Sus scrofa: one gene and its partners. The protein of the gene in region 6 interacts with the protein of the main gene of each other region in a pairwise test. Links are inferred from orthologs where the notes say so. Each region holds a gene or a part of one and is shown on either strand. Other genes may lie near its edges.

The links.
Region 1: the proteins of EGFR (region 6) and CSRP1 interact in a protein complementation assay, tested with the Homo sapiens proteins (2 studies listed by BioGRID and IntAct). The link is inferred for Sus scrofa from reciprocal best matches to the Homo sapiens genes EGFR and CSRP1.
Region 2: the proteins of EGFR (region 6) and YWHAQ interact in binary tests that used the Homo sapiens proteins (3 or more experiments, as listed by UniProt). The link is inferred for Sus scrofa from reciprocal best matches to the Homo sapiens genes EGFR and YWHAQ.
Region 3: the proteins of EGFR (region 6) and UBE2V2 interact in a protein complementation assay, tested with the Homo sapiens proteins (2 studies listed by BioGRID and IntAct). The link is inferred for Sus scrofa from reciprocal best matches to the Homo sapiens genes EGFR and UBE2V2.
Region 4: the proteins of EGFR (region 6) and ANKS1A interact in binary tests that used the Homo sapiens proteins (3 or more experiments, as listed by UniProt). The link is inferred for Sus scrofa from reciprocal best matches to the Homo sapiens genes EGFR and ANKS1A.
Region 5: the proteins of EGFR (region 6) and SPCS2 interact in a protein complementation assay, tested with the Homo sapiens proteins (2 studies listed by BioGRID and IntAct). The link is inferred for Sus scrofa from reciprocal best matches to the Homo sapiens genes EGFR and SPCS2.
Region 7: the proteins of EGFR (region 6) and ARRB2 interact in a protein complementation assay, tested with the Homo sapiens proteins (3 studies listed by BioGRID and IntAct, with this or other methods). The link is inferred for Sus scrofa from reciprocal best matches to the Homo sapiens genes EGFR and ARRB2.

What each region holds. Positions count from the first base shown.
Region 1 is NC_010452.4:23,860,815-23,865,397, reverse strand, and holds the start of CSRP1 (cysteine and glycine-rich protein 1), read left to right. Parts: upstream 1-1,377; 5' UTR 1,378-1,693; intron 1,694-4,583. UniProt on the Homo sapiens protein: Could play a role in neuronal development.
Region 2 is NC_010445.4:126,737,432-126,741,930, forward strand, and holds the start of YWHAQ (14-3-3 protein theta), read left to right. Parts: upstream 1-1,363; 5' UTR 1,364-1,518; intron 1,519-1,913; 5' UTR 1,914-1,977; coding exon 1,978-2,271; intron 2,272-4,499. UniProt on the Homo sapiens protein: Adapter protein implicated in the regulation of a large spectrum of both general and specialized signaling pathways. Binds to a large number of partners, usually by recognition of a phosphoserine or phosphothreonine motif.
Region 3 is NC_010446.5:79,621,368-79,625,430, reverse strand, and holds part of UBE2V2 (ubiquitin-conjugating enzyme E2 variant 2), read left to right. Parts: intron 1-3,195; coding exon 3,196-3,342; 3' UTR 3,343-4,063. UniProt on the Homo sapiens protein: Has no ubiquitin ligase activity on its own. The UBE2V2/UBE2N heterodimer catalyzes the synthesis of non-canonical poly-ubiquitin chains that are linked through 'Lys-63'. This type of poly-ubiquitination does not lead to protein degradation by the proteasome.
Region 4 is NC_010449.5:30,927,628-30,931,690, reverse strand, and holds part of ANKS1A (ankyrin repeat and SAM domain-containing protein 1A), read right to left. Parts: intron 2,930-4,063; coding exon 2,340-2,929; intron 1-2,339. UniProt on the Homo sapiens protein: Regulator of different signaling pathways. Regulates EPHA8 receptor tyrosine kinase signaling to control cell migration and neurite retraction.
Region 5 is NC_010451.4:9,278,791-9,283,504, forward strand, and holds the start of SPCS2 (signal peptidase complex subunit 2), read left to right. Parts: upstream 1-1,726; 5' UTR 1,727-1,875; coding exon 1,876-2,172; intron 2,173-4,714. UniProt on the Homo sapiens protein: Component of the signal peptidase complex (SPC) which catalyzes the cleavage of N-terminal signal sequences from nascent proteins as they are translocated into the lumen of the endoplasmic reticulum.
Region 6 is NC_010451.4:139,434,425-139,438,487, reverse strand, and holds part of EGFR (epidermal growth factor receptor precursor), read right to left. Parts: intron 3,318-4,063; coding exon 3,227-3,317; intron 1,237-3,226; coding exon 1,037-1,236; intron 282-1,036; coding exon 149-281; intron 1-148. UniProt on the Homo sapiens protein: Receptor tyrosine kinase binding ligands of the EGF family and activating several signaling cascades to convert extracellular cues into appropriate cellular responses.
Region 7 is NC_010454.4:52,161,058-52,164,664, reverse strand, and holds the end of ARRB2 (beta-arrestin-2), read left to right. Parts: intron 1-141; coding exon 142-551; intron 552-831; coding exon 832-969; intron 970-1,655; coding exon 1,656-1,739; intron 1,740-1,817; coding exon 1,818-1,897; intron 1,898-1,974; coding exon of another isoform or gene 1,975-2,010; coding exon 2,011-2,065; intron 2,066-2,334; coding exon 2,335-2,428; 3' UTR 2,429-2,889; downstream 2,890-3,607. UniProt on the Homo sapiens protein: Functions in regulating agonist-mediated G-protein coupled receptor (GPCR) signaling by mediating both receptor desensitization and resensitization processes.

The DNA of each region.
Region 1 (4,583 bases), on a different chromosome or scaffold from region 6:
GCTGCACCTGTGCGTGACCCGGAGGAAGGGCCACCAGCTGCCCAGCAGCCCTCCAAGACCTGCCCCCGGGGCCACAGCCATGGGCGAGAGGAGGCTTCCTTCTCAGAGACACTGGAGCCCATGAGGGCAAACAGCAGGGCACCCGGGGAGCAGGCACAGCACAGCGAAATGTGCGCCGAGGTCTGAGTGTGGTTTGCACCCCACTCGGTGTGCTCCCAGTGCAAAGGGTGCCATTCGACCTGGAAATGCAGTGAATGAGCTACGACACCGCGGACCCAAAGAAGTGCTTTGTCTCCCTAAGTTCTCAGTCTCTCTCAGGTCTCCGTGTTCCTCCGAACAGGACTTGGGGGAGCAGATGGCACCTTCTTTTATTTTTTTCTTTTCTTTTTTTTTTTTCCTCGTCTTTTTGCCATTTCTAGGGCCACTCCCGTGGCATATGGAGTTTCCCAGGCTAGGGGTCTCATTGGAGCTGTAGCCACTGGCCTACACCAGAGCCACAGCCACGCGGGATCTGAGCCACGTCTGCTACCCACACCACAGCTCACGGCAATGCCGGATCCTTAACCCACTGAGCAAGGCCAGGGATCGAACCTGCCACCTCATGGTTCCTAGTTGGATTTGTTAACCACTGAGCCACGAGGGGAACTCCGGCACCTTCCTTTAGAGCTGGGCTCGCTCTGCCCCCCACCAGGACCCCTCTGCCAGGGGGTGACTCCCTCTCCCTCCAGAGCCCCAGGTTTCTGGGCTGTTCTGCCCAGGACAGAGGTGGAGGTTCTATCCTGACCCAGGAACAGCTCTGCAGGGAGCGGGCGGCTCTGACCTCTGAGATGCCCGCTGCTGCAGGCACAGGAAGGGCTGGGAGCTGCTGAGGGCGGCACCCACTTTTCAGAGCTGCTGTTCTGGGGGAGGGGTGGGGCAGCCTCCTTTGGAGAGCAGGGGAGATTGGGGAAGCCCAGAAGGAAGAGCTGCTGGAGGAGGGCGTTACACTCACCGAGGGCCACTGCTGAGGGCGTAGAAGGCTTAGAAGATCTGCCCCGTCTCCCCCCAAAACACACCCCTTCCCTGTGGATTACAGCTCCTTCACAGATGCGGAGCCTGTGGGCGGGGGTGGGGGGTGATTTGGAATCTAGGCCAGGGCAACAGCTAGTACACGGAAGGGGCGGGATCCGAACTCAGGCCTCTCTTACCCTGGTGCTCAGATGTGTCCTTGCCACCCTGCCGCCAGAACAAGTGAGACCCCACCACCGTCCCCACCGCCATCCACGCCCGCCCCTTCTCTTGTGGCGCAGGTTTTATCAGAAGTCTTAGCTCTCAGACTTGTGTCTCCACCCTCTCGCATCCGGCCGCCAGGAAACCCTGAGAAGTTCCGGGCACGTGCGAGACGCGGCTTCCTCCGTGGCGGGGGCACAGGGGGTCCCCCGGGCGCAGCCGGGTCGCCCCGGGCCTGGGGACCCCGCTGGGGGGTTGGGGGGTTGCGCCAAGACCTTAGCGCCGATGCGGTGACATCAGCCCCGGTGTGGTGACATCGGCGCTGGTGTGGTGCAGTGTGCAAAGCCCACTGGTTGGCGTGGCCGGGACACGCCCCCCGGGAGCGGAACAAAACGGCGCGCGGGCCGGACGAGCCCAGCCCCGCTTCCAGAGCGCCGCCCGCTGTCGCTGCCGCTACCGAAAGCCCAGCCACCACCGCCGCCAGGTGAGTGCGCGGGGTCTCGCCGAGCCCCTCTGGGCCACCCCGCTGGGCTCCGCTGCAACCTCCGCCCCTACCCCCGAGCGCCCTGGCTCCTCTGCGCGCCCCGGCTCCGCGCGCGCTGGACGCCCCCGGCCTTCTTGTCCCGCCACCTCTCGGGAGGCTGCAGGGGAGGGTAGACGCGACACCGGGCGGCCGGGGCCCGCGCAGGCCGAGGAGTGGGGCCAAGTGGCCGCGCGGGTTTCTTTCCAGGAGGCGCGGGGCTCCTCCCCGCTCCGGGTTCCCCGGACACAAAGGGCCCCCACGTGCCCCTGTCCCGGGACGGCCCGGCGCCCCCCACCGCCTGCGGGTCCCGAGGCGGAACAATGGGCCATTCTGCGCGCACTGACGCTTGTTGTCCGGCGGGGGTGGGAGCCTCTTGCAGCCCCCGCCCTTCTGCCCTGGGGGAACGCGCCCGCGGGCAGGGTGGGGACCGTCGGGCCTCGGGGGCCCGCCCGTGGCAGCTGCGCCCTGCCCTGCGCAGCGCAGGTGCTGGTTTCACTCTTTTCAAAAGACTAGATGGAGTTGCCCCCCACCTCCCACTGCGCGCGCCCCATTCACTCCCGCCCCCGCCGGCTCGTCTAAAGGAGTGGGGACCATCGCAGAGCCTGAAGGGACCCACAGTGCTTGGTGGCCTCAGTCCCTGAAGTGGGGAACACACTTAGAGAAAGTTGCAGTCCATTGCCCCACCAGCAACCACGAGGCAGGCGTTTTATCTGCTCTCACAGGCCCCAGAGTGTTGTGCAAATTCTGCAAACAGTTGTGATCTAATCAAATCTGGGTCTAGGCAGGAGGCTGGGTGGCTCAGCTCCCCGGAGGCGGGGGCACCCCTGCCCCTGGGTGTGAGTGGATGGTTAGGCCCACCCAGCTGAGAGGGCGTCACCTGGGCTCCTACCCCCAGAGGTCCGTACACCCGGCTCTGGTGAACACGGCAACCCACTCGGTGAGAGGTTGTTGGAAGGGGAACTGATCCTGATCCTGAACCCGTGGCCTTAAACAGGTCGCCTCCCTCTCACGCTCAGTTCCTGTAGGGTTGGCACTGGGAGAGCCTTGCACAGACGTGGAACCCAGCGGGGACAGTGGCTCCCTTCTCCTTGGCCTCCCCCCAGCCCCCCACCCCATGCCTCCCCACTGCTCCCAGAAGCTCAGCAGGCTGGAGGTGCTGTCCTCTCAGGGCAGGCTGGAATTTCTTCCCTGAGGGATTTGGGGACCAGGTGCTGAGTGTTCACTGCTGCGCTCACCTCTGGCCTCCAGATGTTCATGGTGGGCTGAAGTGCTTGCGGGGGGTGGGGGGGGCGGGCCGGCAGGGTCACTTCTTGCGAGAGAGACTATCCTTGTGGCTGCTCTTGGTCTCCCAGGGAGTGACCTTGTGCCTCAGGGAGGAAATCCGGGGGGAGGGGGGACAGGCAGGCAGAGAAGGAAGTTTATCCCACAGAGGGTGTGTTGTGGGCGGGCAGCGCTGCCCGTAGAGGGTCCTGGGAGACACAAGGGAGAAACTGAAGGGTGGGCCCACCTCCTCTGCTTCTGGGTGGGAGCCAGCAGTGCCCCCCCGGGCTGGGCCCTGGCTGCAGGAGCACCTGCCTTCCAGCCTGGGTGTTTTCTCATGGCAAACATCTGCCCTTCAGGAGCTTGGGAGTCCTCCCTGGCCCCAGGGGCTGTGTGCTGGCACTTGGTGGGTGATCCGTACAAATTTGGTGAATGGACAGGATGGGGCTGGGCTCTGGGCTGAACTGCCATGCATGCCAGTGAATCTGGCAAGGGTTACTCGCTGGTTGCTCCCTGTGAGTGGGATTGAGGACCAGGTGGGGGAAAAGTGACACCCTTTCTATTTACCGTGGGTCTCCTGGTGGGAAGGCAAACTGGGGAGGCTTTCTTGAGAGGCTGCCAAAGTTGAAATATTTTTGTAAGCCGGCCTCTTATGAAAAGTTGACTTAAAGAAGACAGAGGGATCTTGCATTAAATATTTTGAGGCGCTCGAGAGAAGAAAGGTTGCCCTTTGCCACTACTCAGACCTGTTGGCAGATAAGGAAGGAGACAGAAAACTGGGCAGCGTTAGAGCCGCCCTTCCCCGGGAGAACAGTGGCAGGTGTCCGCACCAGCTGTGCCCCAGGGTCTGGCCTGCTTCCTTCTCATGTTATCTGTACGGGGTGGGGATGGGTACTCCCCATTTCACAGACAAAGAAACTGAGGCTCAGAGGTTTCAGCTGCCATTCAGACCCAGGCAAACACCTTCCAAAAGCCACACTCAGTTACCATGTTATCACGCTCCTCTGCGTTTCCTATTTCAGAGGCAACTTGCTAAGGAAATATCCGCCACTTATGAAAGCGCTTTACTGAGGCTTATAAACTACTTAAGATGGAATTCCCGTTGTGGCGCAGCGGAAACGAATCCGACTAGGATCCATGAGGTTGTGGGTTCGATCCCTGGCCTTGCTCGGTGGGTTAAGGACCTGGTGTGGCTGTGAGCTGTGGTGTCGGTTGCAGATTCTGCTCAGATCTGGCGTGGCTGTGAGCTGTGGCTGCAGCTCTCATTTGACCCCTCGCCTGGGAACCTCCATATACTGCGGGTGCGGCCCTAAAAGGACAAAAGACAAAAATAAGTAAATAAATAAACTACTTAAGGAAGATGTGGCTTTGCCAGTGGGAATGGGGATGGAGTCAGGTTAGACCCAACGACTTCTAGGTCTTTCTTCTGCTGCGTGGCCGGGGGTGGGGGTGGGGTCCCAGGGAAGAGGCTTTCACCACGTCTGACATGCGTCTGAATTTTGGTGTCAGGTTTGCAAGTAAAGGAAGTCTGAAAGAGAGCCCGCTTGAGGAAAAGACACACACACACACACACACACACACACACACACAC
Region 2 (4,499 bases), on a different chromosome or scaffold from region 6:
CTTTCCAGCCCAGGCCTCTCCTGTCGGTCAAAGCACAAAGCAACCTTTGCGAGTCAGGACTGGGAGGGGCAGCTGGGAGGGAGTTTAGATTTCTGGAAAGTCCAAACCTTCTCCGGCCATCTGTTGGCCCTCAGATCTTCCATTCTAGAGTCTTCAAGTCTGTTCCAGGCTCTACTTGGAATCTGAAATTCTTTCTCAGCAGTGGCTTTCTTCACTTTCAATGATCCATTTTCCCTGTGTTGGGCTGGACCTGGAATCATGGTAGCCTGAGCCCAGACACTCAGGACAGCACCTTATTCAGGGAGTGCCAGGAGAGAAGGGAGTGGCTGGAGGGGAGTGCCCAGTTTGAAGCGAAAGGAAAGGGATAGCCATGACCCTGGATAAAAGGCATTTGGGCAGATCATTCTCATGCCAGAAGGGTGTTCACAAGGAGAAAGTCAGAAGTCAACATCTAGAGAGGGAAGTTGAGCTTTGCAAGCGTCCTTTCAAAATTAATACCAGAAAATAAAAAGCATGTACATGTAAGACCACAATGATGGGAAAAATATGAATTTAGACACATGACCTGGGAATGCTGAAAAGAAATATAAAAACAGTTGGGGGAAGAGTGTGTTTCTTCAGATTATCCTTAATCATGTCATTTCCCATTTTAAAGAAAATCGCAACATCTGGCATCGCCAGAGAGACCTGTCTGGACTTTTTTTTTGGTATTTTCCAAGGGAACTTCAGGGTTTAGGTACCCGTCTGAAAATGAATTTCTCGTGTAAGACCCTTGCTTAAGCCGCTTTCTCCAGAAACGAATTCCTCTTTAATGGGGATGGGATTATATCTAATTCGCAGTCCCCATCGCAACGTCATTAAAGGCTGGGTTCTGTGTACTGAGCTTCAAACGTTTGTCACGAATAGGAAGGTGGAGGAAAGAAAGGCATTTGTGCAACAAACAGCCGATGGTATCACCCTCCCAGGCCCGACCTCACCGGGGCTCAGGAGAGCCGCAGCTGCATTAATTAGCCCACAAGATGCAATGCCCCATCTGCAGCGGTGCTGCAGCAGGAGACCCGGCCACTGCAGGAGAGGTCGTGCGAACCGCCCGCTCCCGTGCCGCACCCACGAGGGCTGGGGGTGGCGGGGAGGATGAGGGGAGTTGGTAACAGCATCGCCATGGCAACAGTGACGTCCTTTTACCCTGGATCTAATTGGAGGAAACCCCGTGGCCGAAGCCGCAGCCTGCGAGCCAACCGAACTTGCCCAAGCCGACCCACCCTCCTAGCCTCCGCTTCCCCTCCCGCCCCGCCCCCTTCGCCCCCTTCCGCGCGCTCAGTGCTCATTGGCCAGAGGCGGAGCGGGAGGCGGGACCCTAGGGGACCTCTCGGCGCGCCATTGGGCGGCGGGAGCGAGGGCAGCCGCGCGGCGGCCCGCCTCTCGGCTCCGAGGTAGGCTGAGACGGGAGGGTCCTCGGCTAAAGCCAAAAGCCGATCAAAGTGGTGGGACTCGCGCCGCGGCCGCGGAGACGTGAAGGTGAGCGCCAGGGTCGCCCCCGGCCTTCCTCGGGCCTGGCCGGGCCTGAGAGCCGGGCGGGAGGCCAGCCCCGGGGGGAGCGGCCGCTGGCCTCGACGCCGCTCTCCTCAGGGGCGGCTCCGGCGGGAAGGTGCGGGCCAACGGCCGCTTCCATCTTGGGCCGGGCGGGCGCGGGAGCGGCCCTTCCTCCTCCTCCTCCTTCTCCCGCCCGGGGCCGCCTGGGCGGGCGCCCCCCGGGCCTCCCGGGCGCCCCGTGGGGAGCGTGGGCGGGGGAGGGAAATTCAACTGGGCCGCGCGTGCGGGGACAGACAAAAGGCGCCGCGGGCGGGCGGCCGGGCGGCGGGCGCATTGTCTGACGGCGCCGCCCCCGCCCTCCTGCCCCCGCCCTCCCGCAGGCCCGCCGCACGCCTGCTCGCTGTCCGGGTCGGTGCTCGCCCTCGCTGCCCTGTCCCCGGCCCCATGGAGAAGACGGAGCTGATCCAGAAGGCGAAGCTGGCCGAGCAGGCCGAGCGCTACGACGACATGGCCACCTGCATGAAGGCCGTGACGGAGCAGGGCGCCGAGCTGTCCAACGAGGAGCGCAACCTGCTCTCGGTGGCCTACAAGAACGTGGTCGGGGGCCGCAGGTCCGCCTGGAGGGTCATCTCGAGCATCGAGCAGAAGACCGACACCTCCGACAAGAAGTTGCAGCTGATTAAGGACTATCGGGAGAAAGTGGAGTCCGAGCTGCGGTCCATCTGCACCACGGTCCTGGTGAGTGTGCGACCCTCCGGGGGCGGGAGGCCGGGCGGCGGGAGCCGGGGAGCCGTGCGTCCCGGGGCGCCGGGGCCCCTTTGTGTAAGGCCCTCCCTTGAGAATTTCACGGGGACCGAGTCGGGCCGGGCCTTTCCCGATTGTCTGCCGACGTCGAGGGTTTGAGGAGGTTATAGCCTTGGCCTGCTCGCTGTGTTATTTCAGTTCTTGAGATCCAGAAGCTGCTTCTCCCCGCCCCAGTGGTAAGTAGGTTTTTCTTAGATGCTGGGTTGCTTCCCCACCATTGTAACTTTGAAACACGCGAGTGGGTTTGTACAAGACTGAGCATCGTGTTCAAGCTTACAGAGGAAACCTGGGAACCCTTTAAATGTAGTTAATCAATTCATAGGCGTCAGGCTTCCTTTGAAAGAAGGTGCCGGGCTCCTGTTCGATACGTGTGTGAGCAAGGCTTGGTTTTCTTTCCAAACCTAGTCGTGGAACTTTACGAAAATCTGAATGGGTGCTTCATTTTTCAAGCAAGAGTATCTGTTGAGCTTTTTCCTTGTTAAAAACGGGGAAAGGGGGGAATTTGGTAAAAGTGAAAAGAGCACCGCTAAATCGAATGTCCTGCCAAATTTCAGTACCTGACAGCGTTTCCTTGCTATGACATAGCTACGCTGAAACACGAATGTGTTGAAGTGAATTCGTATCTGGTGTGGAGGAGGCAAGGAGGACTTTGCAGGTTTTGAACTGTCCAGTCTTAGCGTGGGTGGCTGTTGGGTGGAGTAGGGTGCCTGCTGTGATTCACTCTTATTAGTGAGAGAGAACGTTTTTAGCTTTGTCATTGTATGGGTCTTTCGATCGGTAAGATAAGTTTTTAAAATCTCAATGCCAGCATTATCTTCTGGAGTGTTTTTAAGTGTTTTGATACTGCAAAGAGTCATTTCTACTAATAAAATAATGAAACATCTGATGCATTTGCCTCTTTTCTTATGGGCCACGTTTACAGGGGGCCTTGGCGATTTTTGATGTATTCGTTCCATGTAGTATTTTAGGTGGCCTTTGAAAGACAGTCATGCTAGATTGGCGATATTTCAAGATGGAATAGAGGGGGACATTCCTCTTGTCCCAATCTTCTCTTCCTTGCCCCATCGAATTGGTGGGGCAGGAGGTTTGTTTTTTGTTGTTTTTTTTTTTCCTTTCACCTATTTTTTCAACACCAATAGCAGATGATCTGAACAAAATCGTGGCTGGTGGAGAAAGCTGGTAAAGGGGCAAAGAAAGCAATGCAGAGAGTGTACAGAGTGGAGGAAACTTCTGTTGAGGTTATTGGCTTTATGTGGGTGAGATTTTAGGGTCATCTATGTCTTAGCTGCCATTCCCTGCCTGCTGTAAAGGAGGCACTCAGAGAAACTTTCTGCCCTGAATTGCTTATATTCAAAAAAATTTTGCTGTCTTGAAAGTGGTGGTGGGCTTCAGTGCGTATGGTAATGGCTCTTGAGAGCATCTTCTCTGTTGTCAAGGAAGATGCATCAGGATGCCTGTGTCAAGGACAAGCTTTTTTAGGTCCGTGTTACTTTGGGGCACTCCCACAGCATATTTCCATCTTTTTCTATTCTGTCTTTACTTTGCACTTTGTTACTTACCCTGCAGCAATCCAGGAGTACCACAGAATTTTTGCTATTCTCTAGCAAGGTAGCCGGGAATATTTGTTTTATTTTTGTGGCTCTTACAAATTTTCGTTTTTTTGATGGCATGAGTGGAGGAGAGTTTGCTTACTCGAAAAGCGACTTGAGAGACCAAGTATATTCAGGAGACTTTTCTCGGACATCATTTCAGCGGAAGAGAACCGCTGCAATTAGGACAGGTTTATATGAAATATTCATATGTGTACACACACACGCTCACTAAGTGAAATAAAAGACTAGATTAATTAGACACCAAAATATAAGTAAAATATTTTTATTGGTAAAATGGCTGAAGAAACTAAGTTATGACTTAATGGCCAAACCTACCAAAAATATCCTGAGAAAGCCTGTCTTTAAGTTGGCACCTCCATTTGAGAGGTTAGCACGGACAAGGCAGGCACTGTGCTAACACGGGGGGGAGCAAAGCTGAGAACCATAGATTTTGTCCTTCGATAATTTATAGTAAGAAGTGCATGTGAGGAATGTCCAAGTGTAAATAATGTGTAATTCCCATAAGCTGGTGATGCAGAAATGCTGTGGCGGTCGCAGGAGACAGAAACT
Region 3 (4,063 bases), on a different chromosome or scaffold from region 6:
GCTCCCAGCGCTGCTCTGTGGGTGTTAGTGTTTGTGCATACACCTTCAGGGGACATGGACACGCAGTCCATAACAGCTGCCTACCACCATGTGATGCACACACAGTTTCATTAAGCACTTTGGCTTTTGTTATCGAGTTCTAAGAGTTCTTTACTGAAAAAGAGCCCTTATTGAATATTTGATTTGCATGGATTTTCTTTCATCCTGTGGGTTGTCTTGTCTTTTTCCTTTTTTTCTTTATTTTTGGGGCCACGCCTGTGGCACATGGAAGCTCCCAGACTAGGGGTTGAATTGGAGCTGTAGCTTCCAGCCTTCGCCACGGCAGCAATGGGTCTGAGTTGCATCTGTGACCTACATTGCAGCTCTCGGCAACGCTGGATCCTTTAACTGCTGTGCTACACAGGAACTCCCAAGTCTCTTTGTTTTCTTGATATTTTCAGCACAAAACTTAAAACGTTTTTAAATATCCAGTTTCTCTCCTTTTTCTTTTGTTTGAAGTATTTAGGTGTTATATCTAAGAAATTACTGTCAAATCTGGGGTCTTACAGATTTAATTCTGTTTCCTTTTTAGAGGTTTATTGCTTTGGCTGTTAGTTTATGTCAGTGATCCATTTTAAGTTAATGTTTGCGTATGGTGTGAGTTAAGGGCCCAGCTTCATTCCTTTGCTCATGGATGTCCAGTCGTCCCAGCACTATTTGTTGAAGAGACTGTCTTTTCTCCATGGTTGGCACTCTGTTCAGATATTTGACCGTATATGCATGGATTTACTTCTGGGCTCTCAGTCGTATTCCATTGATCTGTATGTCCATTCCTATGTATGTGCCACCCTTCTTGATTACTGCAGCTTTGCAGTAAGCTTTGAAAGAACTTTGTTTTTTCATGTTGTTTTGGGTGTTCTGGATTCCTTGCATTTCCATATGAATTTTAGGATCAGCTTGTCTGGTTCTGCAGGAAAAAAAGGCAGTTGAGATTTTGATAGGGATTGTGTGAATGCTGTAGATCAATGTGCAGAGTATTGTCATCTTAACAACATGAAGTCTTCTGACCCATGTCCATGGAGGTCCATCCATTTATTTTGGGCTTTGATATGTCAACAGTATTTTACAGTGTTCAGCCTACATATCCTACACTTCTTTGAATCTATACCTATGTATTACATCGTTTCTTATCCTATTGTAAGTGGGTATTTTATTTTCAGCTCGTTCATTGCAAGTATACAGACAAGGTTTTGTGTATGGACCCTGCATCCTGCAGCCTTGCTGTAGCTTAACACTCTAGTAGTTTCTTCACTGGTCATGTCATCTGCATGTAGAGGCGGGTTTACATCTTTCTATTCAGTACCTCCTGTGTCATTTTCTTGCCTGATTACTGGTTAGAACCTCCAGCTCAGTGTTGATGGAATAGCAGTGTTGGCAGCCACAGCCTTGTCTTGTTCCTTATCTTAGAGGAAAAATGCTCCATCTTCCTCGTTGAGTGTGATGTTAGCTGTGTATTTGTTATAGATGCTCCTTATCGGGTTGATATACCTAATTTACCGAGTGTTTTTATCATGAAAGATTCTTCGGTTTTGTTAAATGCTTTTTTGTGTCTAAGATAATCATGGTTTTTGTTCTTTGTTCTCTTAATTATTACATTGATTTTTATTTTTTTATTTTTATTTTTTTATGGTCGCATGCACAGCATAGGGAAGTTCCTGTGCCAGGAATGAAATCTGAGCTATACCTGCGGCAACCCTAGATCCTTAACCTGCTGCACTACTGCAGGAACTCCTGATTGATTTTTATATATTGAACTAACCTTGCACTTTGGGATAAATTCCACTTGGTTACGGTGCATAATCAGATTTATTATATGTTACTCAAGACCAACTGTAGGTAAGAGTTTATGGCTTTCTCAGGTCTTTTGAGCCTGAGTACAGGCTCTTTTAGATTCACAAGCCTTTGCTGGAACATTTCAAAGCCCTTGTGGATGTCTCATTTGCCAGATTTTCCTGGGAAGTTTTTGATCACCTTCCTGCTTGCCCTCTCATGGCCTCCTCAGGCAGCAGAGGTGTTAAACAATTAAAAAAAAATTTTTTTTGGCCACTTTCACGCATGCAGAGATTCCCAGGCTAGGGATTGAACCTGCGGTGCAGCTGCAACCAGAGCCACAACAGTGACAAGCCGATCCCCAACTTGCTAAGCCACAGGGAATTCCCTCAAATTTTTAGTTTTTGTTGAAGTATAGTTGACTTAGAATATTATGTTTGTTTCAGATGTACAACATAGTGATTCAGTATTTTTATAAATTACACCCCATTTAAAGTTATTACAAAATAACGGCTTTTTTCCTGTGCTGTACAACATATCCTTGCTGCTTATTTGTTTTCTCCATAGTAGTTGTTTCTCTGAGTTGTTAAACGATTGGCATTGGTTATTTTTGACAAATGCCAGGGTGGAGGTGTGTGGTCCTCAGTGAGTGAGTTCTGAAGTCAGACAAGGAGAAACCTTGTCTCTGGGGTTTTCCAGGGAACTGTCAGACTGGCTGAGTGACGGCAGGTACTTGGGAGGGAGGTATTGCAGGCGCTCCGGCCCCACCTTCTCAGGTTCCCACCATGGAGGACTCAGTACAGTTTGGAGTGTGCACTGGGGAGAGATTGCAGGCTGAATTTGGGTTCAAAGCTCTTTCCTAGATCCTAGAGGAGGTTTGCTCAGACTTAGGGTGGTAGTATTGGAAATGGAAAAGAGCCGTCTGACCTTACCTCATGGAGAAGGAATTGTTACATATGTTTACAGTGTAGTTATGCCATTTATTTCTGAGGACCAAAGTGCCCTTGGTGTTCACAGAAAAGCACCACACAAAAAAGGACACAGGGAGTTCCCGTCGTGGCGCAGTGGTTAACTAATCCGACTAGGAACCATGAGGTTGTGGGTTCGGTCCCTGCCCTTGCTCAGTGGGTTAACGATCCGGCGTTGCCGTGAGCTGTGGTGTAGGTTGCAGACGCGGCTCGGATCCCGAGTTGCTGTGGCTCTGGCGTAGGCCGGAGGCTACAGCTCCGATTGGACCCCTAGCCTGGGAACCTCCATATGCTGCGGGAGCGGCCCAAAGAAATAGCAAAAAGACAAAAAATAAAATAAAATAAAATATGTCTAGTAAATTGGTGCCAAAGTACTTTGAACTTGGTAGTTAATTTTACTCTTTCCGCCCCTTTTCAGGTGGATGCACGGAGCATACCAGTGTTAGCAAAATGGCAAAATTCATATAGCATTAAAGTTGTACTTCAGGAGCTAAGACGTCTAATGATGTCCAAAGAAAATATGAAGCTGCCACAGCCACCAGAAGGACAAACATACAACAATTAATTTTAGTGGATCTGAAACTTGTCTTAAATCAACAACCTTCTACTCATGTTAATGTCTTGATCAAATATCACGATGCAAAATACCCACACATGAAGATAATTCCAGCTGGTGAACATGACCTGGACATTTGTAAGACTATATTTAATATATGTACACCCAGTATGTTTTCGGGTAGCAGGAGGAATATGCAGCACATTTTTCTTTCTTGCTAAGGCACTGTCATTTAAGCCTAACCTGGAGTACTCAAAACAGAGCTCAGGTTTACACGTGAAAGCATGGCAAGAAGTGTCAGAGGGCTGTGGAAGCAGGTGTGTTTCTGAAAAGGAGAAAATCTCAAGAGGGAAGAACTGAAGGGGCGTGCTGTGTCCATCTTGCTTAGTGAAAGAGCTTCGGTTGAAATTGTCTAAAGTAGCAGGTACAATGAATATTGTCACAAAATGTGTTAATTTTTGAAGCGGTATGGGTGCTGACTACTAGTAGTATCAAAAATATGTTCAGGATTGTTTTGATACCTGTATTTATAATAAAAAATGTCGTGGGGGAAGTGGCTGAACTTCTGTTACAAGCTGTTCCTGTGTGTTCCATGTAACAGACGTGGTAAATATTTGTTTACAGTCTTTGTTGGACAAACCATGCATTTATGTTTAAGTGAAATCAACAAAAAGGAAATAGGTGTATGGATATGTGATTTTGAGATTAAAGTTAGTCTTAAATTGTAAAT
Region 4 (4,063 bases), on a different chromosome or scaffold from region 6:
CAAGAGCTGAGCTAGGCCCAAGCTCCTTCACTATAGGCCCGTCTACATCCTGGGGATCTTTGGAGGACAAAGGGAAAAAATGGTCAAGCACAAGACAGAGGCAAAGCAGCCTTCAGGCACAGGGCAGGGGCGGGGGTGGGGGCGGGGAGCGGCTACTAAGACCCTGCTTTAGGGAAATCTGCTCAACCTTGTGTTTAGGGCCCACCAGTGGGGGAAACTCTTCAGCGAGAGATATCCACAAAACCTAGTACATATGACTCAGAAACAATGCTGAAGGATTACACCTAAAGGGCTCCGTTAATGTTTACTATGCAAGCAAAGATTGATCCTCTGAATTCTTTCCAGTAAGACCTCAATTGCCTTTAGCTTTTTCAAATTTAAACTAAAACAGTGCTTCTGGCAGTCAGCCACAGGACAGCCTGGCCCAGGACACCTAGACCTCCAACAGTCCTGGGTTCACTGTAGCCACCGGCAATCTCTACCCGCAAAGGAAGTCTCGGCCTGTGAACCTCCTCTCACTAAGATGCCAAGAGACCACTGACGAACCAGCCCAACTTCGACCAAGCAGGGCTGTGCCTTGGTGATTTCATGTTTCCTTTGCAGGAGGACATGGTGGAGCCCACACCGTAGCGTGGCAATGCAGCATGACGCCCTACCGACCTCCTGGGGTACAGGATGGGCTCAGGACAGAGCCATTCATTAGACTGGGAAGGCTATCCTCTATCCAGCCCATTTGAAGGATTCTGACACACTGTGTTGACCGCAAATCAAAGACTCACTTCTCAGCCTCAGTTCAAGATCCTCTCACTGTCTGGTCCAATCTCACTTTCTGCCTGGATTTCTTATTCTCTTAAACACCACACTCTATAGAAACCAATGATCTAAACTCTCCCTGCTCCATGCCTTTGCTCATGCTGTTCTCTTCACCTCAATGCCCTTTCTGCACCCCAGCAGCTTCAATCCGGTTCTCTAATTCAATGTCTCTGTGACCTTTCCCGAAACCCCGCTCCACCCTCTCAGACCCCAGGTCTCTGCCCACCCAACCCCGCTGAGAGTCTTCTCTATTGACCCCCTCTGCCATGTGAGAGAGGACTGTGTTTATCTTACACTTAAGCTGCCTTATCCTACGCTTGGCTATAAGTTAGTACAACTCTGTATTGAAAAACAGGTGGAGCTCACCTTCCTACAAACACCCACCATGCTCTCCCAGGGCCCAGGAGCTCTGAGTGCAAAGCAACCTTCCTTAAGCAGCCTACCATCTGGCAGAGGCTTGCCAACCTAAACAGTGAAAACCTTCTATTGTACAGGATTTTCCTGTCCCTGTCCCTGGCCAAACAGAGTCCTGAGCCTCATCTTATCTGGAGATGAGTGCTTTAGGAATTGCCCCCATCCTATTCCCACTGGGAATGGGATTAGCTTTGGTTTATGTAACTTTGCAGCTGCGACCTGAATGAGCAGGGCAGGGCACTTAGCCTGGGATTGTTCAAATGGATATGTCAGCTGCGGTGGTCCCCTCCTCTCTGAGAGCTAAATTCATCTCTTGCAAACGTTCTAGGGAGACAGTCCAATTCAAAGTCAGCCTTCTCCTGGCCAGAAGCCTGCAAGGGTAGTCCTGTAACATTCCTCGGGTGTTTACCAATCTGTGAGAGACACATTCTTCTGCTCGTGTCACAGGTCACTGAAAAAACATTCGGACACATATATCTAACTATTCTCTAACAATGGTTATGAAAGGAACCTGGACCTCAGACTCCAAACGTTTTCTCCTCACTCATCTCTCTGTCCTGACTGCCCAGCCCCTGCCCTGCCAAGCTGGATGTGGGATGGGCAGGACGCTTCTGCCAGGAGAACATGCAATCTTCCGGGGAAACACAGCAAGAGGAATCATGGAGCAGCGGGAAACAACACTCTCCCTCTGATCCCCTTTCAGCAGCTTCTCCCAAGGCCCTCCCCTAGCCTGCCCAGCTCTCCTCTTCCTCCTGCAGGCCCTCAGGAGGTGTTCCAGCTTTCCCGAAGCATCTTCAGCATGAGCCCGGCTCCCACAGTGGGCTGACGGGATCCAAATATTTCCAAGCAGCATGTCATTCCTAGGAAGTGCCCCTCCCTGGGCCCTGCTCTGCTGGGGCCCCCACCCTACAGATTAACCAAGAGTGGACCTGTCTTCCGCCAGCCAGGCAGGAAGAGCCCCTGCCATGGATCCCTGGGGCCTGCCCCCCTCACGGCCGTCAGAAACACTCTGGTCTCCATGAGGAGGAGCCAGGAGACCCTGGCCCACGTCTTGGTCCCAGGAGTGGGCGCACAGCAGAGCCCGGGGGGCTTGGCCTGTCCCGTGGTCTTACCTCATCCCACTCCGAGGCAAAGGAAGGCGACTTCTCCAGCCTCTTCTTGCCGATGCTGCAGTTGGATAAGGACTCGCTCCGGCTCCCCATCGTCGCGTCCTCTGTGGGTGAGCAGGTCAGCAGATCAGAGTCAGACTTGGACAAGCTGCGGCTGAGTTTGAGCTCCGCTTTGGGTCTGCTGGTGGGAGGGGCTCGGCTTCTGGCCCCGCTCCGGTCTCCTTCTTCCTCGGCACCGCCAGGGCGCGTTGATGCCGTGCGAGGCAGAGTTTCGGGATGTGTCTGGCGGTGGGTGGTGGGCAGACTCGTGGGGTAGCCCGCTCTCTTGCTCTGGTCCAGCACACGGGCCGGGGAGGCCCCGGCAGCAGGCACGCCCGTCTCCTCCAGCTGCATGCTGGCCCCGGGGCAGGCGCCCTGTGCGGGGGACCCTTCTGAATGGCTCTGGCCAGGGGCTGAGAGCAGCTGGAAAGGGTCCTGCCCCACCTCGCACACGGGGGAGGAGCCGTGGAGGAGACCTGAGAACTGCTCAGGGACCTGCCCGTCCTGGCCCTCCGCAGAGTCCTGGCTCCGGCTGCCGCTGCTCCGCCTGCGGTCTTGGAGTGGACGGAGAGACAGAGAAACACAAAATTAAACGTGGCAAAAATCAACAAAGTTCCAACGCAGCGAGCGTACAGCTGGCCGAGCAGAGGAATTCAGAGGCAGAGGGAAAAGAGAGGCTGGACAGGCTGGGGAGAGGCAGGGGGAGAGAAGAGGACAGAGGAAGGAAGAAAACAGTTTCATATTGTTCTTAATGTCCAATTTGTGCCCAAAGTCAGAGATTTATGAAATTCCAAACACTGGCCTGATAAACGCTAACTGGCAGCGCTCTCGCTGTTAGATTTCTGTTAACGTTAAGGACTAGACCTTGCTATAAAAGGCGAGAAGAGGTGCTAACTGCATCCTCCACAAGTGAGGGGAGAGAGAGTGAGTTCAAAGCGAGAGAGAGAAAGTGAGAGAGGGAGGGGGCGGGAGGGCGCCAGCCAGCAAGCACGAGGCGCGAGACTCACTCCTGGAACATCTGATACATTTCCATGAAGGCCAAGTGGTATTTAGAGCCGCCCGCCCGCCCTCCCTTCCTCTGGCAAGCGGCACCAGAGAGAAAAAAAATGGAAGTCATGGTCCACAACCTGCGCTTCTGGAATTCCTTAACCCAATGTGCAAAACAAAACAGAGAGAAACAACTGCTTCCTTCCTCAGACGGGGGCGATTCCAAGTTCCACGCCTCATCCTTCCTTCCTCAGGGAGCACAGGCTTCTCTCTCTTTTTTTTTTTTTGGAGAATGTGCACATCTCACTCCTTTCAAAGCCTCCCAGCTGCTCCTATTTGTTTAAGTTTAACTTTAGTTGATCCACTGAAATCAAAATGGTCTGATCTGTCAGTGCCAAGAGACACGTGCAGTTCTCTCAGGCCATCCTCATCTCCCAGCTACCACTGTCCCCTCATCCAAGGTATCAAACGCCTCTGCCCTGAACAAGCATAAATAACTGACCAAATCAGAGTCCAACATCAGTATCACCCCGGGACACCCAAGGGCTCGCTGTGCATTGACTCCCAGACCCACTAGAGATTTAAACCCACGTCAGCAGGCTAGGTAACAACCCTGCATCCAGCACGAGCACACACTCCAACAAGACTAATAATCAACTGTACTTTCTCTGAAAGTGGAATCTCTGGGATATGCACCAGAT
Region 5 (4,714 bases), about 130 Mb from region 6:
ATGGAAGTTCCCAGGCTAGGGGCAGAATCAGAGCTACAGCTGCTGGCCTACACCACCGCCACAGCAATGCCAGATCTGAGCCTCATCTGTGACCTACACCGCAGCTTGTGGCAACGCTGGATTCTTTAACCCACTGAGAGGCCAGGGATCGAACCTGTGTCCTCATGGATACTAGTCGGGTTTGTTACTGCTAAGCCACAATGGGAGCTCCCAGCTCACCTCTTAATGGAGGCACTGTGCCAGGCCTGGGTCCTACCTATATCTTTATCCCCAGTGTCTCATACAGGGTCTGGTGCATTGAAGAGGCTCAAGTGATTGTTTACTGAACTAAATGGAATCGTGCCCACAATGCTATCTATGGAGCTCTTCATCCTGCCTGCAAAGAGGGGCGAAGTAAGGGTCAGGGAAGGTTTCACAGGGCAAGTGACATTAGAACTGGGTTTTGAAACACAATAAATTATAAAAGATGAACAAAAAGCTACAGGGGCATCTGACTGGATTGCTTCACAGAAGTGAAGAAATTGCACCTAGTACTTTAGTAATAATGATGACCACATGAGTGTTGGCTTCATGAAAACAGGTATTTTGCCTGTTACTCAGCGATCTGTCCCTCATGACCAGAACAGTGACCACTCCAGAGTATGTACTCCATTTGTTCAGTCATTTGGACACATATGAGGAATTCATGGGGACAAAACAAACAACTAATAATGCAGTGTACTAAATCATAGTGTATTAAGACCTGTTATATGATAACTCTAGGTCATTAGAGTAGGAGTTCCATGAAAGTAGGGGACAGGATCCCCTAGGATTCCTCGGTACAGTTTCCAGTGATGTTGGTGCTCAACAAATACTTGTGTAAACAAAAGCAATAAAAATCTATAATATTATTGTGTCCTAAAGCTGTAAAAGCAGAGTGGCAAAGGTGAGTTAGGCTGGGATCTGGGATCCTTTACTGGAGTGCCTGCACCTGGACAGACATCGCCTTGAGCAACAAAATACAAAGAAACAAGAAGGAACAAAACATAATTGCATGCAAGCACAGTTGAGGCAAATTATGAACAATAAAACACAAAAAGGCCATAAGCCAACTGCCACTTCTGAGGTGCCAAGAGTGAGGAGGGTACTGGGCATAATCCCAGCACCACCAAGGCAGTAGGCAGACCACCTGAGCCATCCCTTCCTCCCCTTCTTTCATCTCATTTAAGGGACCAGCTTGCCTCCTTCCCTCAGGGAGCACCTGTTTCTTATTTTTGCTCCATAGCATTAAAGCAGGAGTCCCAATAAAGCCTCACCTGAATTTCTCATCTGGCCTCTTACCATTTTCTATTGATTAGAGGGTTCAAGGACCCCAGTCAATGGCAAAGGGAGTATAACACGGGTTTGATGTAAAAAACAAAAACAAAACAAAACAAAAAAACCCGGCTTCTAAACTAGGTTCTGATACATGCTCTCTGGCCTTAAGTTTCTTAGTATCCTCCTCTGACTGGTCTGTTACGGGACTAAATGAGAGCATGGCTACAAATGCAGATAGAAGACAATGAATGTGAGTTCCCTAAAATACGAAAACAATACTAACAGCTAAGATGACAGTCACCAAAGAACCGGTAAGGGCAGTAACAGGGGTAGAAAAGGATTAAAGACAAGCTCCTTCGCTTCTTTGGGAAACTCTACATATGAAACTAAGTTTCCAGCCGCACCTGCCTCCGGCGTCGCTTCCGCCTCCGAGGTTTCCGCGGGGGCGACGTCCCGGTCAGGCGGGCAGCTCGGCGAGCCTCCCGGGGATCTCGGAGTAGCTCCACGGTGGCGCTTACCACTACCTTCTCCAACCCTTAGTAACCGCGACGCGTTGGCTGGCCGAGTAGGCGGCAACCGATGGCTGGAGCTTCTGATTACTACAAGTCCCAGCAAGCCCCGCGGCCACTTCCGCTGGCAACCTCGCGTCAGCCAGCCCTGAACTACGGGTCCCGATGTACTCCGCGCGGCACGCCACGCCGCCAGTTCCAGCCAATCAGCTTCGGACAAGTAGGAGGGGAGGGAGACGCACAGGCAGGAAAGATGGCGGCGGCGGCTGCTCAGGGTGGGAGATCCGGTGGTGGCGGAGGCAGTAGTGGGGCTGGCGGCGGTCCCAGCTGCGGGACGGGCAGTAGCCGTAGCGGCTTGTTGGACAAGGTGAGGAGTCGGATTTTGGGGACAGCCGAGGCCTGGGGACTCCTGGGAGGCGGCGAGCCCACCATCCTCTCCCCCCTTTTCTTATGCGGCTTCTCTAGGGGAGTCCTCGTTTGGCCCACCTCGGGGACCCTACGGGCCCTTGTATTCAGCTCTCTACGCACCTCAGACTCGGGCTCTCTCCTCTTTAGGACTTCATTCCTTTTTGGTCCTTAACCTCGGCCACTGCTGCTACTTAGGATAATTTGATTATTTCCACATTTCCTGCGGCCCTCGCTTTTCCTCGGTGGTACTCGGGGCCACTGTTCAGTGTGCCCGTTTCACCGACAGGGAAAGCTGAATCTCGACTAAATGAAGGCAGCTGTTTGAAGTCAGTGGTGTCCAAACTCCCCGCCACACTTGAGTTTTGCTACTGATTCTAGAGTGCCTTTGGCCTTTTGCTTACTAAAGTTTCTAGGCGTTTTGTTGTGATACCCCGAATACTGAACTTGACCTACATGCTGACAGGAAGCTTTTAAGATTTATCTTTTTTCTCTCGCCTTTTTCACCCAACCCCCTACCCTTTCCCCTCTCTTCCTGCCACCAAGTGCCTTAGGTGAATCAGATTCTTGAGCTTGCTGCCTGTTCACTCTTCTCTCCCCCCGCCCCGCCCATCCAGTCTTTCTCTGTTTCTCTCTTTCTTGCTTTATTCTTTTTTAAATGCAGTCTTAGCAACAAGGGCTTAAAAAAAAAAAAATTAAAAAAAAAAAAAAAAAAGGAAACTTCTTCTCGGGGTAGGCCCTTCCTGCCCTTTGCATAGCATTTTGAAAGTAACAATTGTGTAGAGATCTGGGTCCTAGTACTGGGCCTGCGTCTAATTAGCTGTGTGACCTTGAAATATGCTTGTTTTCCCTGTGTCTTGTTTCCTCATTTGTAAAATGAGGGAGTTAGTCTTCATCCACCCTAAGGTTCCTTCCAATTCTCTCATTTTAGGGCCCTGGGCCAGTTTGATAAGGAATGTTACACAGGGGGTCTTTATTTTAATAGAGTGAAAAATCAGGATTGTTTACTTTAATTGAAAACAGCTTTCAGACTTCTCTGTGTGTAACACATGGTAGGCAAACATGAAGTGTGGACAGTCTTCAAAGGCAGTGATTACTGAAAAGTATACGGCATTGGTGCATTATTGGAAGAACCTGGATTTGGGGAATCATAAGATTTGGGCTTTGACATAGCTCTGCTAGTTTCAAACTGTATGAAGACTGACAAGTCAGTTAACCTCACTAAGCTTCCCTTTCTTCACCTGAAATATTAGGATTTGGGGGAGAATCAAATGAGATAATACAGGTGAAAGATGTCTATAACTTGTAGTATCTAACAGAGAAGCATGATGGCAGACAAAAGAAATCAGTACGCAATATAGCTGCATATAGGACATGGGGTACCCAAAATATTAAACAGAAGTGTTTGGGTAGTTCCTGCTGTGGCATGACAGAATCGGTGGCCTCTTGGGAGCACTGGACATAGGTTCAATCCCTGGCCAGGCACTGTGGGTTAAGGATCTGGTGTTGCTGCAACTGCGACTCAAATCTGATCCCTGGCCTGGGAACTCCATATGCCACAGGGCAGCGAAAAAAGAAAGGGAAAAAAAAAGTATTTGGTATTTACATCTGTTCCTTTTACAGAAGTTAGAGAGAGAATGATCCCTAAGATCTAACTGATGAGGGAGTGACTGCCCCCAAGGAAAGACCTCATGTTTGAGAGTGGAGCTGTGACCTTATTTTGAGAGAGACAGGGACATACTGCCTACCAGGGAGGATTGTCCTTGAGCAAAGGTCCATGGTGGGTGCCTCATGCTTGGTGTTTCTTAGGTAATGAGTTGACTGACTGTTCTCTAAGAGACCTGTAGTGGCAAGTAGATAAAACCAGATGGAGGAGGGGATGTATTGCTTGAAGTAGGCATAGGAAGTTGTTGAAGGGTTTTAAGCCATATGTATATGTGTGTGTGTGTATGTATACACATATATATACATATAATAGAGTGTCAATCGTTTTTCTAAAACCACTATATACATATAGTATATGAATAGTTTTTCTAAAACCATTATATAGATAGCATATATCTATAGATAGTGGTTTTAGAAAAATTATTCCAATAGTTTAGAGTGGGAGAAATTAGAAGTATTCTGGAGTTCCAGCCCCTGGCCTGGGAACCTCCATATGCCACAGCTGTGGCCGTAGAAAGCAAAAAAAAAAAAAAAAAAAAAAAAAAAAAAAGGTATATAGGGTATACTAGTATATAGGGTTTAGATAAAAAGAAAGACAAGTTTGAGTTCTAGTACAGCATGTTAAAAACTACGTGGCCTTGGATGGAGTTCCCATCATGGCTCAGAGGAAGCGAATCTGACTAGTATCCACGAGGACGCAGATTCAATTCCTGGCCTCACTCAGTGGGTTAAGGATTCGACGTTGCTGTGAGCTGTGGTGTAGGCCAGTGGCTACAGCTCTGATTCAGTCCCTAGCCTGGGAACCTTCATGTGCTGCTTGTATGGCCCTAAAAAGACCG
Region 6 (4,063 bases):
TGGCCGTGCCCTCAGCATGTGGAAAGTCCCAGGCCAGTGATTCAACCAGCACCAGAGCAACAACACTGGATCCTTAACCCACTGTGCACAGGAGAAATCCTTATACTCATTTTTCATCAAAACAAAGGGATCAGACGAAGCCTCTTACCCCTCCAGAACGTTGCACTTCTCCACACATTCCTTGCCGCGGCTAAAGTTTCGACAGGACATGCAGTCTCTGGGTTCAGGGCCCCAGCAGCCCTCTGATGAGCACAGCGGGTTACAGATGTGGCCCATGGCTTCTGCAAAGACAGGGGCAGCCCCACAAGTCAGCCAGGAGCATCGGCCACAGGGGCCTGTGGGTGCGGGGCACACACACTGCTGGGCCCCCAAAGCAGCAGTGACCTAATAGGGCTTCGGGGTGGGGTGGGGGGCTCTGCCAGGGGCTGAAGGTTCCCAGAGGCTCATCAGAGCTGACGAGCCCCGGGAGGGTGCACAGGGGCGCAGAGCCAGAGCACTGGGGGTGGGAGTCACTGTTCTCTCCATTGCACGGGGAGGAAGCCAAGGCCCCGAGACCTCAGTACACTGGCGAGGAAGGGCTGGAGCAGGACATAAGCAAGGGGCCGCTTTCGCCAATGGCCAAGGTCTCGTGCAGAGGGCAATGGTGCAGGCCCAGCCTCAGGAGCCAACTCCGCCTGTGAGTGCGTGTGTGTGTGTGTGTGTGTGTGTGTGTGTGTGTGGCTAGCTACAGTCACCATGGACAAAATGAGCAGAGGGAACGCACAGCTAAAATACAACACGACCAACACTAAATTTAGTTCTGCGCATTACCAATAACACTAGCCCGGACTTTGAGGCAGGTTCATCCTATGGAATGAGAAGGATCTGGAAAGAATTCTGATGAACTTCACAATTAAGAATGTCCAGATTTCTTTTCACTTGCTTCTCTGGGGATGTAAAAGTCATTTAAATGTTTGAGAATGGCCCCTCGATATTCTAAATCAAGACGAATGACCCACTGGAACCCTGTCCACAGTCAACCAGAGTGGTTACTCACTGCACTCTTTTTCGCTCCTGTTGTTTATAATTTTGGTTTTCTGACTTGCGGTCCCAAATAGTTTTTTCCAGCTGATTGTATTTGCATAGCACAGGTTTCGGTTTCCTGAGACGATCACGTCTCCGTCGCTGATCTCCTTGAGGGAGCGCAGCCCCAAGGACGCTATGTCCAGGCCAACAACCGCGAGGGAAAACTGACCACTGAGGTGGAGAGAGGAGAGCAAACACGGAGGACAATTAGCACAACAGAGCGTCACCAAGGCGCCGTTCTCTGCACCACTGCGGGTTTACTACAGACGCCCTCCAGGAAGCACGTCATGCCGCAGGCAGGTACAAGGCAACTTCGGAGAATTCCGAGTGTTTTTTAAGCTTCTCCGGGGAAAAGCTAGTTCCTAGTTCATTTCGTGTCTCTAATCCCAGTGGTAGTCTGAGGGCTGAAGAAGTGTCTTAATGTCATTATTTTATTTACTGCTTTTTGATTTTGCCTGTGAATTGAGAATGTGTTCTAATTGCTAAAACATCCAGGAGTTCCCGACATGGCGCAGTGGAAGCGAATCCTACTGGTATCCATGAGGATGTGAGTTCGATCCTTGGCCTTACTCAGTGGGTTAAGGATCTGGAGTTGCCGTGAGCTGTGGTGTAGGTCACAGATGTGGCTCAGATCCTATGTTGCTGTGGCTGTGGTGTAGGCCGATGGCTACAGCTCCAAGACCCCTAGCCCAGGAACCTCCATAAGCCGCGGGTACGGCCCTAAAAAGCAAAAAAAAAAAAAAAAAAAATCCAAATACACTTCAAATGATGATAGATTCATCCGCTCACACATCCACCCATCCATTTATAAGGCAAAGATACTGAGGCAACATGTGGCCCATCCTGTCTGCCTCTGGGTTAAGTGCACGTCTGCTCCTCTCAAAACCCCTCTGTCTAGTGATGGCGCATTCACCTGGGCAAATACCTGCAACCCAGCACCAGGGGTGGTGACGAGGGCTCCACAGAGGCGGGGCAGGTCTGATGAGGGAGCCCGGGAGAGGGGCCCAGGACCAGGAGCTGGCAGGTTCTCCTCATCCCCAGCCCCGTGCCAGGGTCCTGACAGTGATCAGCACGGGCCCCTGAGTTCCCGGACACGTCACTCAGACTAAAGGGAGGGAAGCCCCTGGACGCAGGAGGCAGGAAGGCACACGAGAGCCAAGAGCTCCCGCTGGGGCGGGAACGCGGAGGCGGGAGCCCCAGGAACAGGGCCTGTGAGGGGCAGGGACGCCGCGTGGAGGAGCCTGGGGTCTGCAGGGAGCAACCACAGGAAGGGGTTGCATTTTTAGGAAGCCCGCCAGCCACCAAGAGCTGCACACCAGTCACCCAAGAAAGTCGACCAAAGCGCTCGTCTCTGCATGAACTTTGGCCAGTGAAGTATTTCTGAGAACTCGGAGCAAAGGCGCCTCTCTGGGAAACGCCATGAGCTGCTTGTTTAGCATCAGAGACGCAAAGCTGAGACAGTTTTTGGAAAGCAGTGCTTATTTTACGTGTATCATCTTCCAATTTTCTGAGTGTTGCATAATGTTCTGCTGTCCAGTTAGGAGTCAATGATGGAAAGCTGTTCTCGGAACCAGGCTATTTCCAAGGCAAATTTGAACAAGAGTGCAAACTTCTCCTCACCACAAACCCATCACTACCTTTATTACGTTAAAGATGCATGTGCGCGCGCACGTGTGTGTGCGCGCACGCGCACGTATTTCACAGGTGGAGCTAGAAAAGTGGAAATCCTGAAAGAAACTCTCAGTTGCTAAAAAGCTTCTCAGTTCCACCTAAAATGACGCGCTGATAAGGAAGGACATGTCACCCCAGGCTGTTCTTGGCAAAAGTGTGAAACCTCAACTGAATCAGAAGAAAACATCGGCCATTCCAGAAACGCCTCACCAGTACTTGAGGGACAAGGCCGACAGCGGACCTGTCACTGACTGCAGAGGACCTGTCACTGACTGCATGACAGCCCCATGCAGTGGGGGACACGGGCTGACACAGAACACACAGGCACTCATGGAAAAACTGGTGAGATGCTAGAAAGTCTGCATTTGGGTTACTGCTGATTTGTGCCAAGGGGACGCAGGGTGTCACCCTCCAGGGAGCTGGGGAAACTCGCTGTGAGCTTTATTTCAAAATAAAGTAAGAAAGAACCTACCAGCTGAGATCTACTTACTGTTGCTTCGTCCTGCCACGTATGATTTCCAGGTTCTCAAAAGCATGGAGGCCAGTCCTGTTTTCAGGCCAGGCCTGAATCAGTAAAAACCCTGTAAGGCAGGAGAAAGATGCAGGCCATTTAGCAATTCCCTTTTCCTAAGAAACACTGTCACAGGATTCTCGGGAGGCTGTCCAGGAGCAGACGGCGAATGTTTTGTTCTCCTCATCCTCCTCACTAAGCACTTGCAGACACACACACACACACACACACACACACACACACAGAGCCACACGCACCAGGCACCCTTTACAACAAGCCCCCTGCTGCCCTGGGCTAGAGCCCGACTCGCCCCGCAGGCTGTACCCACGGTGGGAGCTCCCCTCTTGAGACCCCAAACAGGCCGCTGCTCTCTAAGGCAGGGGCCAGTTCTGAGCTTTAGCGCCACAAGGAGACTGACGTGAAATCTCTATCTGGTTCCAATTCTCAAGCCAATCCTGTTATAAAGTCCAGTTACACCTTTTTTAGGGATGAAGAAAGTGGAGCTGCCGGGCCCCGGGCCCAAGGCCGGTGTTGGGGCAGGACAGGACACGTGTCTCTGGGCTGGGAGCCCGCAGCAGCTCAGTGCCTGGCCCTCCGCCCTCCATCCCGGGCTGTTGACCGGCCACCTGGGCTGGGCGCTGAGACCTCGCACGTCACACCGAGTCCCAGGTGACTCGACTCTGCTTAGAGAGTTTGCCTCCTGAGAGCACGGGGAGCCGCGGTTTTGAAAAATATCAAAGAATGAATTACTCGCTAATGGCAAGGGAAGAGAAAATCGCCTAAAAGTTCTCCCTGTAAAACACCTGCCTCCCACGT
Region 7 (3,607 bases), on a different chromosome or scaffold from region 6:
CTAAAGGAGGCTGCCTTCCTTGCAGGGGTGGGCTTGGCTTTAGATGGAGGAGGCCCAGCACTGGGTGTGTGTTTGCGGGAGGTGGGGGCGCAGTAATAACAGGACCAGTGAAGAGACATCAATTAACTTTCCCCCCAAAAGCTGTACTACCATGGGGAGCCCCTCAATGTCAACGTCCACGTCACCAACAACTCCACCAAGACTGTCAAGAAGATCAAAGTCTCTGGTAGGAGGTGGGGGTTGGAAAATTGCCTGAAGGGAGGGAGTTTCAGCCACAGGACATACCCCAGGGCTGGAGACCCCGGGGGGCTCAAGGAATGCAGGCTGTCCCAGGATGGGGGGGTGGGGGGCACATGTCCTCAGGCAGGGATGCTAAAGGGCCAGGACCTGGGGTCCTTGCGGGGGGGGGGGGCGCGGGCTGGAGTTGGGTGGGCTGCTGTCTACACTCCATGCAGAGCTGCTTGGCCCCGCCCCACAGTGAGACAGTACGCGGACATCTGCCTCTTCAGCACGGCCCAGTACAAGTGCCCCGTGGCTCAGCTCGAACAAGAGTGAGTAGCAGAAGAGCCCTGGGTCCCCCTGGTCAGGGGGGAAGAGGGGCCCCGGAGTGTGAGGAAGGCGGGAGTCCTTCCCCGCTGTCTCCGCTTCCAAGCACATTCCCTCCCGTTGGGGGCTCTGAGCCGCTCATGTTCTGGAGCGGGTTGAGCCCGTGACCCAAGGCCAAAGGGAGAAGGGGCCGGTGATGGGGCAGAAGCCGCTTGGGGGTGGGAGCCACCCCCTCCGCCCGCCTGGCCCTTCCCAGAGTTTCCTTCTCGTGTCCCCCTGCCCCAGTGACCAGGTGTCGCCCAGTTCCACGTTCTGTAAGGTGTACACCATAACCCCCCTGCTCAGCAACAACCGAGAGAAGCGCGGTCTCGCCCTGGACGGGAAGCTCAAGCATGAGGACACCAACCTGGCGTCCAGCACCATGTGAGGGGACGAGGGGGTGGGGGTGGGGGGTCCTACAGCACAGGAGACACTCATTCCGTGCCAGCCGTGTGCCAGGCTCTGTCCCCGGGGCCACGGCCCCATCAGGGAGCAGAACAGACCCAAAAGATCTCTTACGTTCTCAGGGAGGAGGCCAGGCAAACCAGATAAATGGCAAAATATACAGCATGTTTAGTGCCAGCTGTTGAGAAAAAGGCAGGCAGAGAAGGGAGGTATCAAGGGGGGGGTGACTTTACAGAGGGTGGCCAGAAAAGGCAAAATCCAGAGGCGACTTGGAGTAAGGACACAAAGGCAGCAGGGCTGCAGAGGTGTCAGGCGAGAGGGCCCCTGTCTTTGGAGCAGGTACAGCTGCACAGAGTGGGGGCGGATTTCACCCCCGGGCCCTGCGCCCTGTGCCTGACCACACACGGCAGGCCAGCGTGGGAGCAGGAGGTGCGGTCAGAGGGCTGAGGGAAAGCAGGTCAGTGCAGGGCTGATGGGTCCCAAGGACGTGGGCTGTGACCGAGAGAGCGAGACGAAGATGGATGGGGTACGTTACACGGCAACAGCCCGTGCTGCTGGAGCCGGGGATTCCTGCTCAGAATCCCCGTGGAGGCCCCCAGGGTGGGCTAGGGTGCGAGGAGGCCGTGGGCTCTGGTCCAACTCCCCCCCCCGCCTCCCCCCCGCAGCGTGAAGGAGGGTGCCAACAAGGAGGTGCTGGGAATCCTCGTGTCCTACAGGGTCAAGGTGAAGCTGGTGGTGTCTCGAGGCGGGTGAGTGCTGCGGGTGGGAGCCTGGGGGTCGGGGGCTCTGCACGGGCCTCTCTTCATGCCGCCTCTCCCCCCCCTCAGAGATGTCTCCGTGGAGCTGCCTTTTGTTCTCATGCACCCCAAGCCCCAGGAGCACATCACCCTCCCCAGACCCCAGTCAGGTGAGCCTGCCACCCGCCCCAGCCCCCAGAGAGCGGGCCCGAAGCAGGGCCAGTGGAGACAAGGCGGGTCCTTTCAGCACCCACCCACCCCCCCTCCTTCCTTCTCCCCTCAGCTGCGCCAGAAACAGACGTCCCGGTGGACACCAACCTCATTGAATTTGATACCAAGTAAGACACGCCTCGGCCCCAGCTCTGACGCCCCTTGGTCGGAGATGCCTTACATTCACATCTACCCATTTTTTCCTCTTGTGGGGGGGGTGGTCGAAGCATCCAAGCGAGATGAGGCAGCCTTGCGAGCTGCCCATGGCCACCTCTTCCGGGTCCCTTCCTGCCAACACCTCCAGTCCCATTGCTGCTCTAACGCCTCTGTCTCTGGGGGGGTGGGGGTGGAGAAGAGGGTCAGGAGCCCTCGCCTCACCCCCTCCCTCCACACCAAGCTATGCCACGGACGACGACATCGTGTTCGAGGACTTTGCCCGGCTCCGGCTGAAGGGGATGAAGGACGAGGACGGCGAAGACCAGTTCTGCTAGGCGGCGGCGGCAGCGGGGGGCGGCTGGCAGAAGGGAGTGGATGGTGCTGGGAGAGGGAGGGGCAGGACCGAGACCCCGCTGGCACCGGGGGCTCCAGCCTCTCTTCCCCTGCCCTCCCCTCTCCCTGGGCGGCTGCCGCGACCAGCCCGCCTCCCCCTCCCCACCAGAGACGCACTGGACCCATCTCTTGGGGAACATGGGCATTAATCTTTCCACGACAGCTGGGCTTCCCCAACCCCGCAGCGGGTGGCACGCTGTGTTCATACCTAAGTTTTGTGGAGGGGCCACTGGAGAGGCGTGACAGCAGGGAAAGGGGGAGGACGAGCTCCCACATTCAACCTCACCCCGACACCCCTGCCTGTCACCACCTCTGCCTCCCATTCCTTCAGGATGAGACCCTCTGGGGGGCAAGGCCACTTTGTTTCTGAGGCTAAAGAAGAAAATAAACCTTTTAATAGGCACGCGCGTGTGTGTGTTTTCTACGGCACGTTTAAGGAGGACTTCGTGTGCTCGTCCACGACTGTCCATTGTGCCCCATCCCTTCTCTGTCCCCACATGTCACCAGGCCCCCAGGCTGTCAGTACACGTTTCCTGAATGGCTGAGCTGTACCTGAGTTCCACGGTAAACATGGAAACTTGATGTGGTCAGTCCAAACTCAAGGGCACAATGTGGTAAGCCACAAAGTAAACTCATTCATTCACAGAGGGAGTAATAGCTCACGTTCCTGCAGATGGGATGCTCTTGGGACTGGGCAGGGCAGGCCCTTCCCCGTCGCGGCTGACACACATGACTGCGTGGTGACTTGTGACCGAGTGTTTGTTTCCACTGCTCCTTCTGGTCGATCAAGCGGTCCATTCCTGGGGCTTGGTGGAACCGCAGCTGCGGGCCTCAGCGGCAGAAGCCACCTGGCAGACACCTCCCAGGAGCCTGGTCCTTAGACTGCACACAGAAGCCAAAGCTCTGGGCAGCCGAAGGCAGTGGTGCTGCTGTGGACAAGTCCAAGACACTACGTCCTACGCTGCTCCTCTAGTTCATCAGGGACTCCCAGAGGCTTGGCTGAAGCCCCAGACTGGGCTGGCAGGAGTCGAGCGCTACTCCGCTGGCACGCGCACCCCCACCACCGGCTCCACTCCTGCAGGGCACCCTCTCCCCTTTTCCTCCTAAGGCTCATTCATTCC